Caenorhabditis elegans: one gene and its partners. The protein of the gene in region 1 interacts with the protein of each later gene in a pairwise test. Each region holds a gene or a part of one and is shown on either strand. Other genes may lie near its edges. The genes, in order: ubc-25, chn-1 and erp-44.1.

Region 1 (4,339 bases):
AGTCAGCTAGTTGCGGTCGATTCGTCCAAGACGTGTGCGGGCCTGCGTGGGCCTGAGTGCCGGGCTGTGAAAAACTTTTCATCCACTTTTTTTGCTCTACATGAGAAAGCTATGCATTTCACTTGGTGAAATTTTTAAGCTTTGCATAATGCTCAATGTTCCTTTCCCACCTACAATTCCAAATAACAAGATAACGAGCTCGTTTCAAGCTTTCTTTCATTTTCTAGATCCTGTAACCCTCATTTTTGCTCTATGTATCTCGTCTCAATTCCCGCAGCCACATTGATCAGATTGCACTTTCCGTGCGTGTTTCATCTCCGCCACTCAAAACAGGTTTCTTTTTATGGGCTTTACGTGTTTCTGAATGTCGTAACAAAGAAAATTGTACTTTCGAACATATATACAAAGTACTTGTTGTCTAGTACTTCTACTTTTGGTTAGGTTCCAAAAACTAGGTGCTGTTTTCAGTCTGCTGCCTCTTCCTCTCTTTGTTGGGTCATCTGATATGATAAGTTGATGGTCATTTATAGTGGTAAACAAGAACCACCTGTTTTTCATCAATATTTAAAGAAGGAGTATCGTCAATGGGGAAATTGTTTTAAAATGTAGTATTTGTACTCAAACTTCCAATTATTGCAAAAGAAAAACGGAAAAAATCCGTTAACATTAAGCATTTTGCCGTTGAAATCGACGAAAGTGGCTGAATTTGAATTTCGCGCTCAAATGAATCCTAGGCCACCACGCAACTTCTAGGCCATATTCGTTAACAGAATATTGATTTAAATGTAATTTTTTCGAACTTTAATTCGCTTTTCTTTCTCAAAAATTGAAATATTGATTTCTTGTATGAAATATACGTTTGTATTGAATGGGACTGTCGGGGGGAAATGTCACCTGCTCAATTGTATTATTTTCCCACACTGTGCCGATCGATAAACAACGCGCTGCCGATCAGTGTGAGCTATTCTGCAAGAGCGTCCATTAGGATGTTCCATTTTCTCCCCTCTACATCATTTCATTTGTCTTTTTTTCTCTCAATGCGACAATTTTTATATTTCACTATTTGCCCACTCTTTCTTATTCTTTTCTTACCCCACTGCGGTCTCTGGCATCATCAAAGCATCGATTGTATTTCTTCTTTTCAAAAATCAGAATTTTTTAGTAAAGTTCAAATATTCCTTATATTGATTCGTATAGTATGTGTTATCAGTTCAGTTTTATATTTTGTTTACTGATAAACGTAAACTTATCGTTTAAAATTCTAAATTTAGTATTCGAAATCTTTTTATTTCATTAATCGATAACAAACTGAATTTCAGCTGTCTCATTGAACTTTTTAATCAGGAACTCACAGAATAAAGATCATTGTTATTTATCTCGTTATCTCTATTAATCACGTAACTTCTCACTCCACCTGCGTCTATTTCTCTTCTTATTGTCTCTAATTCTCTCAACCTCTCATATCTTTCCCCAAGTGTGCCCGTGCCAAGACGAGTTTCTCACTGGCTGGTGCCTTTCATTCGGTTGTCTAACCGTCTACGTTTCGCATCTTGAGTACACTATCTTCCAGCCTGTTGTCGTCTCTCCTCCGAAGTATCGATCGATTCTCGGTCCACGCTCTCGTTGACAGGGCGGTCGTGAATCGCAATCTTTCACATGTTTCGAAAATTGCTATATATCTTTATAAATATTTCGAAACAATAGAAAGAAAGAAACAGTATGCTTGGGAAAACTGGTGGCTTATCTTTTTCAAATCGTTAAAATTGCATTTAAAAACTTAATTTTACGACTATACTCGCATATTTTCAGGTAGCGAAAATCAGAAGAGGATGGCGTGTCTTCGAAAACTAAAAGAAGACATTCAGGTTCTGGAAAAACTATTTCCGAAAAATCACAATCGCTTTCAGGTATATTGAACGTTCTTATCAGTTTTCTAGTTTTAAATTTCAGATACTGTCTGCCTCGGTTGATGAGCTATCGATGAAATTCATTAATGCTGAAAACAAGGGAATTATTGTGACAGCTAACATTCAAGAGAATTATCCACGTCAACCGCCAATCTGGTTTTCCGAATCTGATGACGTTCCAGTCATCGGAATGTCTCTTCAACGGCTCACCGAAACTGAAGAGTCGACGAACATTTTGCACCAAGTTCATCGATTGGTATCCGATCTCTGCTCTTTCTACAACCTCCAAATGCCATGTGAATTACCTCAAATTGCTCCACCTGTCAGGGATGATATCGATGAAGGTCGTGGAAGTGATATTAGTGATACCACATCTGAGGTAATTTAGTTTTAATTCAGTTTTTCGTTTTTAACATCAAAAACAATTTTCAGCCAATCGACGACGACATGGCTGGAGATGGAGAAGTTGACGATGATGATGAAGAGGAAGAAGACGATGAAGATGCGGACGGTGACATCGAAATAGTAGAGATGGCTGAAGAAGATCCAACATCTCAACACGATGTTGGAGTTTCGAAAGAAGGTCTCGATATGCTCGACAAAGTTTCAAAAATTAATAGACAGCAGCATTTGGATGGGAAAGTTCAAGGTTCAATCACAGCTACAGATCGTTTGATGAAAGAGATTCGCGATATTCACCGAAGTGAGCACTTTAAAAATGGAATTTATACGTTTGAACTGGAAAAGGAAGAGAATTTATATCAATGGTGGATCAAGTTGCACAAAGTTGATGAGGATTCACCATTGTTCGAAGACATGAAAAAGTTGAAGAAGGATCATAACCAGGATCATTTGTTGTTCAGCTTCACGTTCAATGAGAAGTTCCCTTGTGATCCACCGTTCGTCAGAGTTGTTGCTCCACATGTGAGTCTCTAACTTTGAATATTTTTATTGAAACTTATATTATCCTATTTAGATCAATCAAGGATTCGTATTGGGTGGCGGCGCAATATGCATGGAACTTCTAACAAAACAAGGATGGTCATCAGCTTACTCTATTGAGAGTTGCATTCTTCAAATTGCTGCTACCTTGGTAAAAGGCCGTGCTCGAATTTCGTTTGACGCAAAGGTAATTTGAAAATTTAATGTTTTTAAATGAAAACTCTAATCTTATATTTCAGCACACATCGACGTATTCAATGGCTCGTGCTCAGCAATCATTCAAGTCCCTCCAGCAAATTCATGCGAAATCTGGATGGTACACACCTCCAAAAACAGAAGGATAACTCCCAATTCAAAGATCTTCATGTCATCCAGTACTTTTTTATGTTCCACACCCTCCTCTCACTTTTTCGCTCTCCACTTGGTATTTTTTCTTCACAGTGACGATTTTTTTTTCAATGGTTTTTTAAAATCGGAAACGTTTACCTTTTTCAAACTTTCATTCCGCGGGTACATCTCTTCTCTCGTTTTATATTCATTTTCTAGACATTTACATCATCCATTCTTCACCCGCTTCCTCATCCCTCAACTACAACCACCCCCCATCCCCTTCCAATTAATACCTCCATTCTTAAATAGAACTAAACATGTGTAAATCATCTGAAATTTCGAGTTTCACGCGATGGAGTGTTCACAAACCCAACATGTTCCAAGAAACGAACGCATTCCCCTCATTTCGTTTTTTTGTATAGTTTTTAGCTTCCTTTCTCCTATACCAAAAACTGTCCAGACGTCTGAACTAAGACCACTCGTAATCTTTTTTTACAATGTAAACCTCATTTTTGGTCTTCCTCACGATGTATATTTCCTGAAAATGAAGTGTCTGTTCCTATGAACATGTGTGGATTGGCTTTTTTGGTGTTTATTTGGAAACGGTTTTAGTCTCGGCTAAAGCCAATTGTCCAAAAGTGAGCTGTTTTGAAACTCGCGTTTTATCAGGAAAAATGAAATTCACTTATTTAAAATTTTTAAAAACAATTATTTATAATAGAAAGCGTTTTTAAGGTTGTTTTATTATTCGAAGACTAAAAATTTCAATTCCAATGCTCTCAGCTGTCTCGGCTCTCTTTCTCTTTGATTCCAATACATGGGCGTGGCCGGCACTCACGTCCAACTTGGAAGCGAGCGGAACCCGTGATGTGTCGGCCGCCGCGCTCTGTCACCTCGAAGACCAGCGCTGCTTTCATCGAGACCATACTATACAGAATCATTTCTGCAGTATGTATCTCGTAATTCCCATCAAATTGGTAGAGATGCCAACTGCGATGAAAGGGAGACGGGCAGGTCGCGAGCGTGAAGCAGTCCTCTAATGACTTGATGACCGCACGGAGCCAATGAATTTTGGAGCCGTAGTGGCCTGCTCTTCTGAGCAGTTATAAATGTGTCACAAATTAGAATAATATACTAAATCACAAAACAAAAACTTGGAT
Region 2 (4,781 bases), 4.4 Mb from region 1:
CAGCTGCACGTTTAACATCTCTCCCAGGCTCACGTCTACGCATCCTGTATTAATCATTTTAGAAAACAGATCAATAAAAAAATAAAATAGTGACAGCATTTTTAAAGCGAATATACGAGATTTATACGAACATGTAAAACTTTTACTATTTTTATTCAATGAACACAGAATTCCTTGAACTATTTAGCTGATCTTGTAAAACCTTGGATTAAATTACAGAATTAAAAAATAAAAACCCGTGAAAAATGAAGGTAATGTACCGGCAAAATTTTAAACACATAAAAAATAAGAAATTCGTGCAATAATCGGTGGAATGTTGTCTGAAGAGCCGCCGTTCTCAATCCAGCGTTTCGTTAGAAATCTGTAAGTGCGAAAATTGTAGATCAAAAAATTTCTTAACTATTTTGATCTACAAAAACCACTTACTGGACCATTTTCTCATCACAACTTGTGTTGGCAATGTCCATCGTTGAATCTTGTTGTGAAGAAACAGTCAGAAAAAGTATTGTTTTGGGAACTGGATATTTTCCGTGATCTGAGAACGCATGAAGAACAAGAACTGCATCCCATTTTAGCAGGTCTACATCCAAAATCACAGCTGTTCGAGGTGATGATTGTGAAATAAGAGCGGGTCCGAGGACTGAAATAATGCATTATATTTTCAAAATTCAGCGAATTTTCACATTACTTTGGAGATGTTAAAAAGTTATTTAAACATAAAATATTATGAGGTTCTGAAATCACTCACTTTCCTGCAAATTCGCATGCAACTCGGCTCTATCAGTGTCACTTTCCACTCTAATTGATGATTTTCCTGCCGTAGTATGCTCATCACTTTTAGCATCTTGAACAGCTCGATTCACAGCTTCGGCAATTTGTTTGGCCGGTGTTCCCCCAACAAGAACAACCAACGGAGCATGATTTTCTGGTTCCAAATAGATTTTCTGCCCGATTAGTCTTAAGAGATCCCGATTTTCTTTCGAAATTGTAGGAAACTCGTTCTTGATGACAGATCGGACTGATTTGATGTAACTTTCATACGATTCGTTAGTCTAGAAAATTGTTAATTATTCCGATACCGCGTGTAGTTTTACCAACCGTAACTTTGCTTCCTTTAATCAATGCTCCCACAACAATCGCAATGAAAACTATTCCAATAACAGTCCAGTATTTCCATTTTTCATTCACTTCGTTACATGACACATCGGATTCTTCTGATCCATGTGAGCTACTGAAACTCAAATCCGCATCTGTGAAATCATTTTCATCTTGTTGCTCGCTAGTCTTTTCGGTTCTTGCATTACTTATTTGTTCAGTTAGATCAGGATAAAGCCTTGATGAACTATCGAGACTCCTACGTTTATTCGATGTTGGTATGTAATTGGATGGAGTTCCATATGATTTTCTGGTTTGCACCATACCCTGAACTAAAACGAAAATTGGAGCAGAATTTGAAAAAAAAAAATTAAACTGTTAAAAAAAAACATAAATATAAAAAATTGCGGCAAAAAACAAATTTTGGCTTGGAGCGAGTACACCGCAAACACCGCAAGCTTAATTTGCACACAATGCGTCAGAGCTTACGCGCAACTCTATCCGCATCATGCTTTTCAAAATCGATTTTTAGAACAATTTCCGCTTATTTTCAGCGTTTGCAGCATGTCAAGCGGCGCCGAACAACATAATACTAATGGCAAAAAGTGTTATATGAATAAAAGGTATTTTCATTTATGTGTAATAAATCCCATGTCTTTGAACTTTCAGATATGACGATGCCGTTGATCACTATTCGAAAGCCATCAAAGTAAATCCTCTGCCGAAATACTATCAGAACAGAGCAATGTGTTACTTTCAGGTATTTATACTTCGATTAAAACTTTTCTTTAACTTTTGTAATATATATTCTAGCTTAACAACCTCAAGATGACTGAAGAAGACTGCAAACGGGCACTGGAACTGAGCCCAAACGAAGTGAAAGTAAGCTTTCAACTCTTGAAGTTAATTAGTTATTCAATTCATTTTCAGCCTTTATACTTCTTGGGAAATGTATTTCTACAGAGCAAAAAGTACAGTGAAGCAATAAGCTGTCTCTCCAAAGCGCTCTACCATAATGCTGTTATCACGGTAGAAATTTTTGAACGGCGTTTATTAAAACGGAATTGTGGTTTCAGAACGCTCCAGATATTGAGAACGCCCTCAAACGGGCACGCCATCAAAAGTACGAGGAGGAGGAGTCAAAGCGAATTGTACAAGACGTTGAATTTCACACGTATTTGGAGAGCTTGATCGAAAAGGATCGTCAAGAAAATTCTGAAAACCCAGAGGAGTTGCAAAGAGCAGATATGGCTAAAAAACGTCTAACCGAACTCACTTTAGCGGTAAATACTTTTTCTTGAAAGTTTTTTGAAACTTTAGTAATACTATTCCCAAATTCTTATATCTAAGCGTTTCTAATTCGAACCAAACGAGTTTCCGAATCCTGCCAACTTTTTTCAACCGGTTCAAAATATACTTTCAGAATTAAGCATACTAAACTATCGTGAGTGTAATATTTCCTAAATCACGAGAGATCAAAGAGAATCAAAATATCATTTTTTAGACACAAGAAAAACGGCAAAACAGGGAGGTTCCTGAGATGCTCTGCGGCAAAATTACACTGGAACTGATGAAAGAGCCGGTGATAGTTCCATCTGGAATCACGTATGACCGAGAAGAAATTGTGCAGCATTTGAGAAGAATTGGCCATTTCGATCCAGTCACAAGAAAACCACTTACCGAAAATGAAATTATTCCGAATTATGCACTGAAAGAGGTTGGAAATTTATACAGGGTGGGCCAAAAGTATGGTAACACGTTTGCAGCTCTATAACTTTACTAGTGGAAAGAGTTACTACATCAATTGTTACAAGTTTTGTTCTCCATAAAATACTGACCAGATGAACGTTTTGAATTTTCAAAATATTCCCATCCGCATCGCTGCAGGCCTTCAGAACTTTTGAGATCACGACCTTTATGGCACGCAAGTCGGCATTCTGCGGGATTTCTACATTTTTCTCGAGGAATCCATCAAGTGCCTTACAAGTTTTTATAGTTCAAAGAATGCTCTTGGTCTAGAGATTCTATAAAAACAAAAATCCAAATAATTTCTATCACGGTATTTCTGTCATGGACTGCGGCAGTAGGTTAAGTCTTGAATGGCATAGTCGCCAGAAAGATGGATGTGAGCGGCGAGTAGCAGTATGCAGAAAAATTCATTTTAGTATTTTTCGAGACGTTTTGACCTGACTTTCCAGAATTTTTTTAGAAAATTGAGCTCGGATGATTTTGTGGGACGTTACGCCTTGCGAAACCAAAAAAACTGAGTAAATTTCGCAAAGTTGAATTCATGAAATATTCAAAGGTTCTTGCTAGGCGCCAGTGTCGACACAGAAAATTTTTATATGCCACAAAAACAATTAAAAACGCTTCTTCACTTCTTTAACTTTAAATTTAACATAAAAATCATACATCTGAAAATTATTGGCGTGCATGGGAGGTGTGTTTGTGTGGGAAGTGCCGCGTGCCAAATTACCGTTTTTTCGAAAGGGTTCGCCAAATTGTCGAGGTGATAAAGATCGCACCTTATTGGGAAACATTACAAATTTTGAGTCAAATTGAAGGAAATTTATTCAGCTATCAGTATTCGATAGAAGAATGTACGTATGACGTGGCAGTCACGCGAAAAGCTCATGTAAAAGAGCGCTTCATGTGTTACCATACTTTTGGCCCACCCTGTAATAAATTCAGTTAATTTCTAATGATTTTCAGGTTATTGAAAAGTTTCTTGACGACAACCCATGGGCTAAATATGAACCCGGAGGCATGGTTTAAATACTATTCAGAATATTGAAAAATTCAACATTAAACATTCCTGGCTGCTTCTCAATGCAACTTCTTCACTTTTCTACATGTTTCAGTTCTTTGCATTTTTTTTTCGGATTTTTAAACTTTTATTGTTTGAACGCTGTACCCTCCTTTTCTGTTCTACCGGTATTTGTATCTTGGTGTATTTTTTAGCTTTAGTTTTCTTTCAAAATTCCATTGAATTTCTGGTAGAAAGTGCACTTCAACTTGTCGCTTAGTTCTCAATTTTACTGCTAAAAGTGAGATTCTGTAAATATTGTATGAAATAAAGAGGTGTGATGCTTTTCTTTTCATTTTACAATTTTTTTTATACCAATAGGAAGGTCTATAACCTACTATCTACGTGACTTTGTAAATAAAATAAATAAAATCGGGAAGTTTTCAAAATTGCATCACTGGGAGTGCGGGATTGCGGAGTGTCGTTGTGAAATTTAGACGGCATTTTTTTCCGTTTTTTCAATTTCGAAGCTGTTTAAGCTGAATTCTGTTCGAAAATTTGTTGAAATAAAATGCAAAAAAGAATTTTTGTTCACAAAAAATGGTTATTTTCATTCTCCGGGCATTATTATTTTTGTTTGCAGAGTTTTAGAATAACTGTTTAAAAATCCTTGATGTTTAGATCTGAAAAGCTTTCAATGGTTCAGAAGAAATTATAATTAAACCGAAATTAATTAATTAAATTTATTATTTGAATATTTCCCGCACAAGTTCCATTCTTGCCTCTTCTTTATTGAACTTATAATGTGAAAAATTATTCTTCAGATGTTGTCACGAATTTGTGGAAACGGGATACGATTAACTCGGACAAGACTTCAATTTCAGCCATCTATTGTTACTTTCAGAGGTAGGCAATGTCTATAGGTTTTCATTTCTAACTA
Region 3 (5,764 bases), 5.1 Mb from region 1:
AATGAGACGCAGGAAACCGAATGCTCCCAAACGGGTGCAGGTCATCTTTTTGTGTAGAGGTTGGTGGGTGTTCATATAGATCGGAGAAAGAATGACGAAAAATGATTGACAAGAGAATACATATTTGGATTGGCTCACACCTGTATTAATTGAAGAAGATCAGTGAGCTAGCGAGGAAATTTGAATAACTTTTAAAAATAGCAAGAAAACTTCTAAAGATTATCATTGAAGAGGAGCAATTTTCTAGACGTTTTAGTTACAGTAATCCCTGTGTTACAGCAAATCTTGTCTCCTCTTCCAAAAAACCATTACAGTAATCATAAATATTGGAATTATTTGAAATCAACCAACAAAACTTGCAATTGAAAATTGTTAGAATCTATTTAGAAAGAAATAAAAACATCAAATATATGTTTACACCATGACGAGTCACTAAAACTAATCGAGTTGTTGACTGAAAGTAATTCAAAATCATCGTTCGGCGCCGTACATTCTGCTGGGTTTTCACACGTTCCTATTACATTGATAAGAACTTGAAATGTTTCAAAACATTGTTGAAGCTCGAAAGAAAATCGATGATGTGTGTGTTGCTTCTAGGGACAGCTTTTCCTCACTCAGCTGTGAAATGCTCTTCTTCTCCTTCTCTTACTTCTTTTCTCCAACTATTTTCACATTTTTCCCCTCATGAGTTACTAGACACAAATTTTGAATAAAATTTCTCTATTTATAATATTTATATTTTCAGGCTGGAAGAGCTATTCGTCCAATCAACAAGAAGCATCTACTCGGAGAATAATTGGAAGAATTGTTAATTTTTTGTTGATTTTTTAAAAAAACTTTATTGTTGGTTTTCTCTCTTTGAAGTGTCACCTGAAATGTTCGTTGTTGTTAATTTTATATGTTTTCTTTACGGTGAAAGTTTAATTGAGACCATTTTCTCATTATTTTCTCAATTTTACATTTCCTGTAATTCTTTAAATGAAAAACAAATTTTTTAAAAAATAATTCAATTATAATCAGTTTTTTCGTTATGGTGGATATCCCCAGCAATTTATTTGAAATTTGAAAATATAATTTTTGTTGTTAAAATAATATTTTGAAAAAGTTGGCAACGAAACCCAAAGTTTTGAAATTTTGAAATAAAAATCTCAAAAAAATGTCTGCTTTTCGCTTTCGAAAGTATTTAAAATTTAATTTTTTAGGGTATTTCTCTATTTAATCATGTCTCATTAAAATCAACATTAAATATTGAACTATTCTTCATTTTTCCAGATATTTTCTAGAATTGTTTTTTTTTATTTTTAAAAACATTTTTTGTCGGTTAAAAACCACTAAAGATTTTGAAAAAAAAATTTTCCATACTTCAATTTTTTAATAAACGAAAAATTTGGTTTAAAAAAATCTGAAAACACTGCAACAACAAGTTTTTCTGACAAATTTCTCACAAGAACCTGCACCTTCACTATTTTTGAGAAAATAAACCCCAAAACGTTTTTTTTTTCGATGTTCAGTTTTAACCAAAAAAAAAAGGTTTTGATTTTTTTAAATTCGAACAAAAATTTATATTTTTCGGTTTTGAAAGAAGAAGTGAATCTCGGTGATCAGCACGGAATGGCACATGCTCTCAGAGAGATACAAGCACACAGTATTCTCATGAAAAATCGTTTGTAAAGCTGCCCCATCCACGCCCAATTCTCATCGCCAGTCAGCTTTTTCTCCACTTTTCGTTTGCTCTTTTCCGTGTGCTCACTCACTCACCCTGCGCCTCTTCTGATTCAGCGTCTGTGTCTCTTATAATTCAACACTTTTTCCACTATTTTTAATACCCCGGGCGGTTTGTGTGACCAATGCTGGCCAAAAAGTACACGTGTCTTTTGCCGTTCTTTTAAATTTGAATATGCTGCATTCAGACATTGATTTTTATGTTTTGAGAAATGTTTTACAACGTCTTACCCTTTCTAAACCCTGCAAAACGCCATTTTCCGCACTAAACTAACTGATGATGAATATGCGTTTACAACCAATCAAAAACATTCGTTTTGAAACAGACCAATCAAGAAACTCTTGAACTTTTTGTTTTCCTATAGATCGGTTGATAAGCATACTTTTTACAGCTGGAAAATCATTTAAATGTTCTTAACATTTGCCTTAAACATTTTTAAATTCCCTATAAATTCTCAAATCGAATAACAAAAATTTCAGAAATGCTGCGGTGGTTATCCCTACTTCTATTCTGTCCGGCTCTACTGAATGCTGAAGTTGTTTCATTGACATCACAAAACTTCGAGCAAACTATTCGTGAGCTGTCTTCAACTATCTATGGAAAATATGCTAATTATCATGTTTCAGAAGCAAATGAACTCGTTTTCGTGAATTTCTACGCAGATTGGTGCCGCTTCTCGCAGATGTTGAAACCCATTTTCTTGGAAGCTTCGGAAAAGTTCAAAGATGCGGCTCCGGGCAAGATTATGTGGGCTTCAGTGGATGCTGATAAGAACAGTGAGTAATAAATTGGAATAATTCATTTATTTTTATGAAATTCAGACGACATTGCCACAAAATATCATGTTAATAAATATCCAACTCTGAAGTTGTTCAGAAATGGAGAAGCCGCGAAAAGAGAGTACAGGTTAGTTGCTTAATTTTAATTTGTTTTTTTTTTAAATTTAAAGTTAATAAAAATATATAAAAATTTATAATTTTGTTCAAAAATTTTCTTATAAAGATTTGGCAAACTGTCGAACTTTTAATAAATGTGCAGAGTTCTAACCTCTACACCTCCTCCTTCTCCTCCTCTACACCTCTACACTCTGAGAAAATTTTTTTTGGTCAAATTCCAAAATTATAATATGTGAAACTAAAAATTAAGATATTTCAAAAATTTGTTTTACTATGATATTAGGACATTTTAGCACTATAGGCTGCAATTTTACACAACTTTTTTTATTGACGATACACTTATTTTTTTCAAAAAAATTATTTTAAATTTTGAATTTCAGAAGTTCCCGATCCGTGGAGGCTCTTAGCGAATTCATCAATAAACAAATGGAAGTTACAGTGAAGAAGTTTATTGAGAAAAATGCACTTCAAGCTGCGCATAATGTGAGTTTCACTGAAAATATTTGAAAAACCAAAATAAATTTTCTATTGTGGCAAAAAGAAGGTTTCAAAACTAAAAAAGTATATTTTTCAGCCAGAAAAGAACACATTTATTGGATATTTCCATGATGAAAACAGTGTCGAGTACAAGAATCTCATGAACGTGGCAATGTTTTATCGTGATGAATGTGAATTTATGGTTGGAATCGGAGATTTGAACTTCCCTGGAGAGGCACCGGCTGCTGGTCAACCACCGAAACTCGTTTTCCAGCCATCTAATAAGGCTGTGAATCCAGCACAGATTCCATTCTCTGGAGATTTTGCCACTTATGAATATCTCAAGTTAGTAAAAGTTATGAAAAATTTAGTTTTTCTCATCGCAATGGTAGTTTGTCTTACTTGAAAAATATTCTCACATTGAACCTGAAAAAATGAAAAGCTGAAGAAAAAACCCAAATTTAAGCTTTTTCGGTGATTTCTTAAATTCCCACGCGTTCTAAAAAAGAGCTATCACCAAAAAAAAACATTTTCTGTTCGGTTTTTTGGGTTAAAAATAATTTAATTTCTTCACAAATCTTTTTTAAAAATACAAAAAAATATCTTTAAAAAATATCTCATGTTTCAAAATATTAAAACTTTTTTTTTGTTAAGAAAAAACAAAGGTTAACCAATTTTCGACAAAAAAAAACTCGATAAAATTTAAAAAGGGGCAAGGAACCAATTTCGAGCCGAGGAGACTGTAAAAAAAATAATTATTGTAAAATTAAATTTTCAGACAATGGGTTGCTGACAAATGTGTGCCATTAGTTCGTGAAATCACATTCCAAAATGCAGAAGAATTGACTGAAGAAGGACTTCCATTTATGATTCTTTTCAAGAAATCTGATGATAAAGTCAGTGAGAAGATCTTCACTGATGCAATTGTTCGAGAACTTCCTGATCAGAGAAAAGGTATTTTATTCGAGTTTTTTTAGATTTTAAAATGAATAATTTCAGCAATTAACTGCTTGGTCGGTGATGGAACAATCTTCAAGCATCCACTCAGTCACTTGGGTAAATCGGAATCCGATCTTCCAGTCATTGCAATTGATTCTTTCCGACATATGTATTTATTCAAGAATTTCGAAGATGTCAAGTAAGATCTGGAAAATGGATTATATAAACAAACAAAATTATTTCAGCGTCCCCGGAAAACTCCGCGAATTCGTGCTCGATCTGCACAGCGGAAAGCTTCATCGCGAATTCCACCATGGTCCAGATCCAGTGGTAAGTGTCACTTTTTGGGAGTTTTTTGGTTTTTGAAATTTTTATGAAATTTATTGAAAAGTTAGTAAACGAATTTTTTTTTATTATCTGAACCAGACTTTTTTCTATACCACCTTTAAAAAAGTCTCTAAAAATCCTTGAAAAATGTAAAATTACAAATTTCATGAGATTTTCAGGACGGAAAATCCCTCAAATTGGGAATTTTCTATGAAAAAAAAACAAAATAAATGAAGCTTTAACTGAAAATTGAAAAAAAAACTCCGAATTATTAGAAGATTTAAAAAAAATTATGGTTGGGATGATTTTTTCTAAATATTTTTCCCAGACGCGAAATGTTGTGCTTTTTCCGTCAAAAATACGGTAAACGGGTCTCGAAACGACAAATTTTTGTCAAATGTGAAAAGGTATGCGCCTTTAAAGATTACTGTAATTTAAAATTAGTTGCTGCGGTTTTTTATTGATTTTTCTTTTTTTTTCTCGATTTGAAAAAAATTATTAAAAAATTATTGTTATATCTGATTTTTTTTTAAAATAAATTTCCTTTTCTGATCGAAAAGTCAATAAAAAATTCAAGAAAAAATAAATCTTGAAATTACAGTACTCTTTAAAGGCGCGCACCTTTTGTATTTTTCAAAAATTTGCCTTTTCGAGATTCGGTACCGTATTTTTATTGAAAAAATTGCAGTACTTATTTCCAAAGACCATATTTACAATTTTCGTAAGACATTTCAGACTGGAAATCAAGCACCGGACACTGAGCCACCACCGTCTACATTCGAGAAGTTGAAGCCTGCTTCTTCGAGATACACAATTCTTGACAAAACGGAACTTTAATTTCTTTGATTTTTCATTTTTGTTTATAACAGAGCTTTATATCACAATTGCAACATGGCCTTGTTTTGCATTTCTCTGGTGTTCTTTTTTTTTAATTTTCAGTTTTATTCGGTCAATTTTCCATTGGTTTTGGTTTTATTTCTTGGTTTCTACGAGGTCCCCCCACACACAACTATTTAATCCCCGATTTCCACAAAAAACTATACATTACTATGTTATTCCATCGGATTGTTGTTCTTTTGCCAATCAAAATCCATTTCTTTCCTATTCATCTCTCTGAAAGTTTTAGTCAATTCCTGTCTGTGATGCGCGGTTTTATTCTTCGTTTTCCCATGTCTCTATCCCTGTCTTTTTTTTGTTTTTAGATTCAATTTTATTTCAAAAATTTTTTGAATCTTAAATTCAAAAACAATCAACAATGTTAACAGAAACGAATGAATATATTTATTCTTTCTATTTCTTCAATAACCTTTTTGTTTTGGCGGTTAAATGGATTCAATCCGATTCATCTACTTGTCAAAGGTGATTGACCAAATTTTTCACAAATATTTTTATTTGTTCCTTT

What was found.
Region 2: the proteins of ubc-25 (region 1) and chn-1 come close enough for resonance energy transfer, tested with the Caenorhabditis elegans proteins (one study listed by BioGRID).
Region 3: the proteins of ubc-25 (region 1) and erp-44.1 interact in a two-hybrid assay, tested with the Caenorhabditis elegans proteins (one study listed by BioGRID).

The regions. Positions count from the first base shown.
Region 1 is NC_003279.8:10,561,161-10,565,499, forward strand, and holds ubc-25 (Ubiquitin-conjugating enzyme E2 25), read left to right. Parts: upstream 1-1,809; 5' UTR 1,810-1,829; coding exon 1,830-1,907; intron 1,908-1,950; coding exon 1,951-2,286; intron 2,287-2,339; coding exon 2,340-2,831; intron 2,832-2,883; coding exon 2,884-3,036; intron 3,037-3,088; coding exon 3,089-3,193; 3' UTR 3,194-3,743; downstream 3,744-4,339. UniProt on the Caenorhabditis elegans protein: Catalyzes the covalent attachment of ubiquitin to other proteins. Required for the maintenance of neuromuscular function.
Region 2 is NC_003279.8:6,180,725-6,185,505, reverse strand, and holds chn-1 (E3 ubiquitin-protein ligase CHIP), read left to right. Parts: upstream 1-1,649; 5' UTR 1,650-1,659; coding exon 1,660-1,718; intron 1,719-1,764; coding exon 1,765-1,855; intron 1,856-1,908; coding exon 1,909-1,977; intron 1,978-2,025; coding exon 2,026-2,124; intron 2,125-2,171; coding exon 2,172-2,378; intron 2,379-2,599; coding exon 2,600-2,812; intron 2,813-3,807; coding exon 3,808-3,870; 3' UTR 3,871-4,192; downstream 4,193-4,781. Other genes in the region: GPI mannosyltransferase pigv-1, read right to left, coding at 1-43; T09B4.2 (Torsin-1B), read right to left, coding at 271-361, 427-640, 749-1,052, 1,099-1,419; putative mitochondrial import inner membrane translocase subunit tin-44, read left to right, coding at 4,666-4,747.
Region 3 is NC_003279.8:5,416,540-5,422,303, reverse strand, and holds erp-44.1 (Thioredoxin domain-containing protein), read left to right. Parts: upstream 1-1,611; coding exon 1,612-1,663; intron 1,664-2,202; coding exon 2,203-2,298; intron 2,299-2,349; coding exon 2,350-2,499; intron 2,500-2,544; coding exon 2,545-2,629; intron 2,630-2,999; coding exon 3,000-3,102; intron 3,103-3,193; coding exon 3,194-3,441; intron 3,442-3,874; coding exon 3,875-4,050; intron 4,051-4,095; coding exon 4,096-4,234; intron 4,235-4,280; coding exon 4,281-4,365; intron 4,366-5,097; coding exon 5,098-5,199; downstream 5,200-5,764. Other genes in the region: utp-14 (Small-subunit processome), read left to right, coding at 746-796.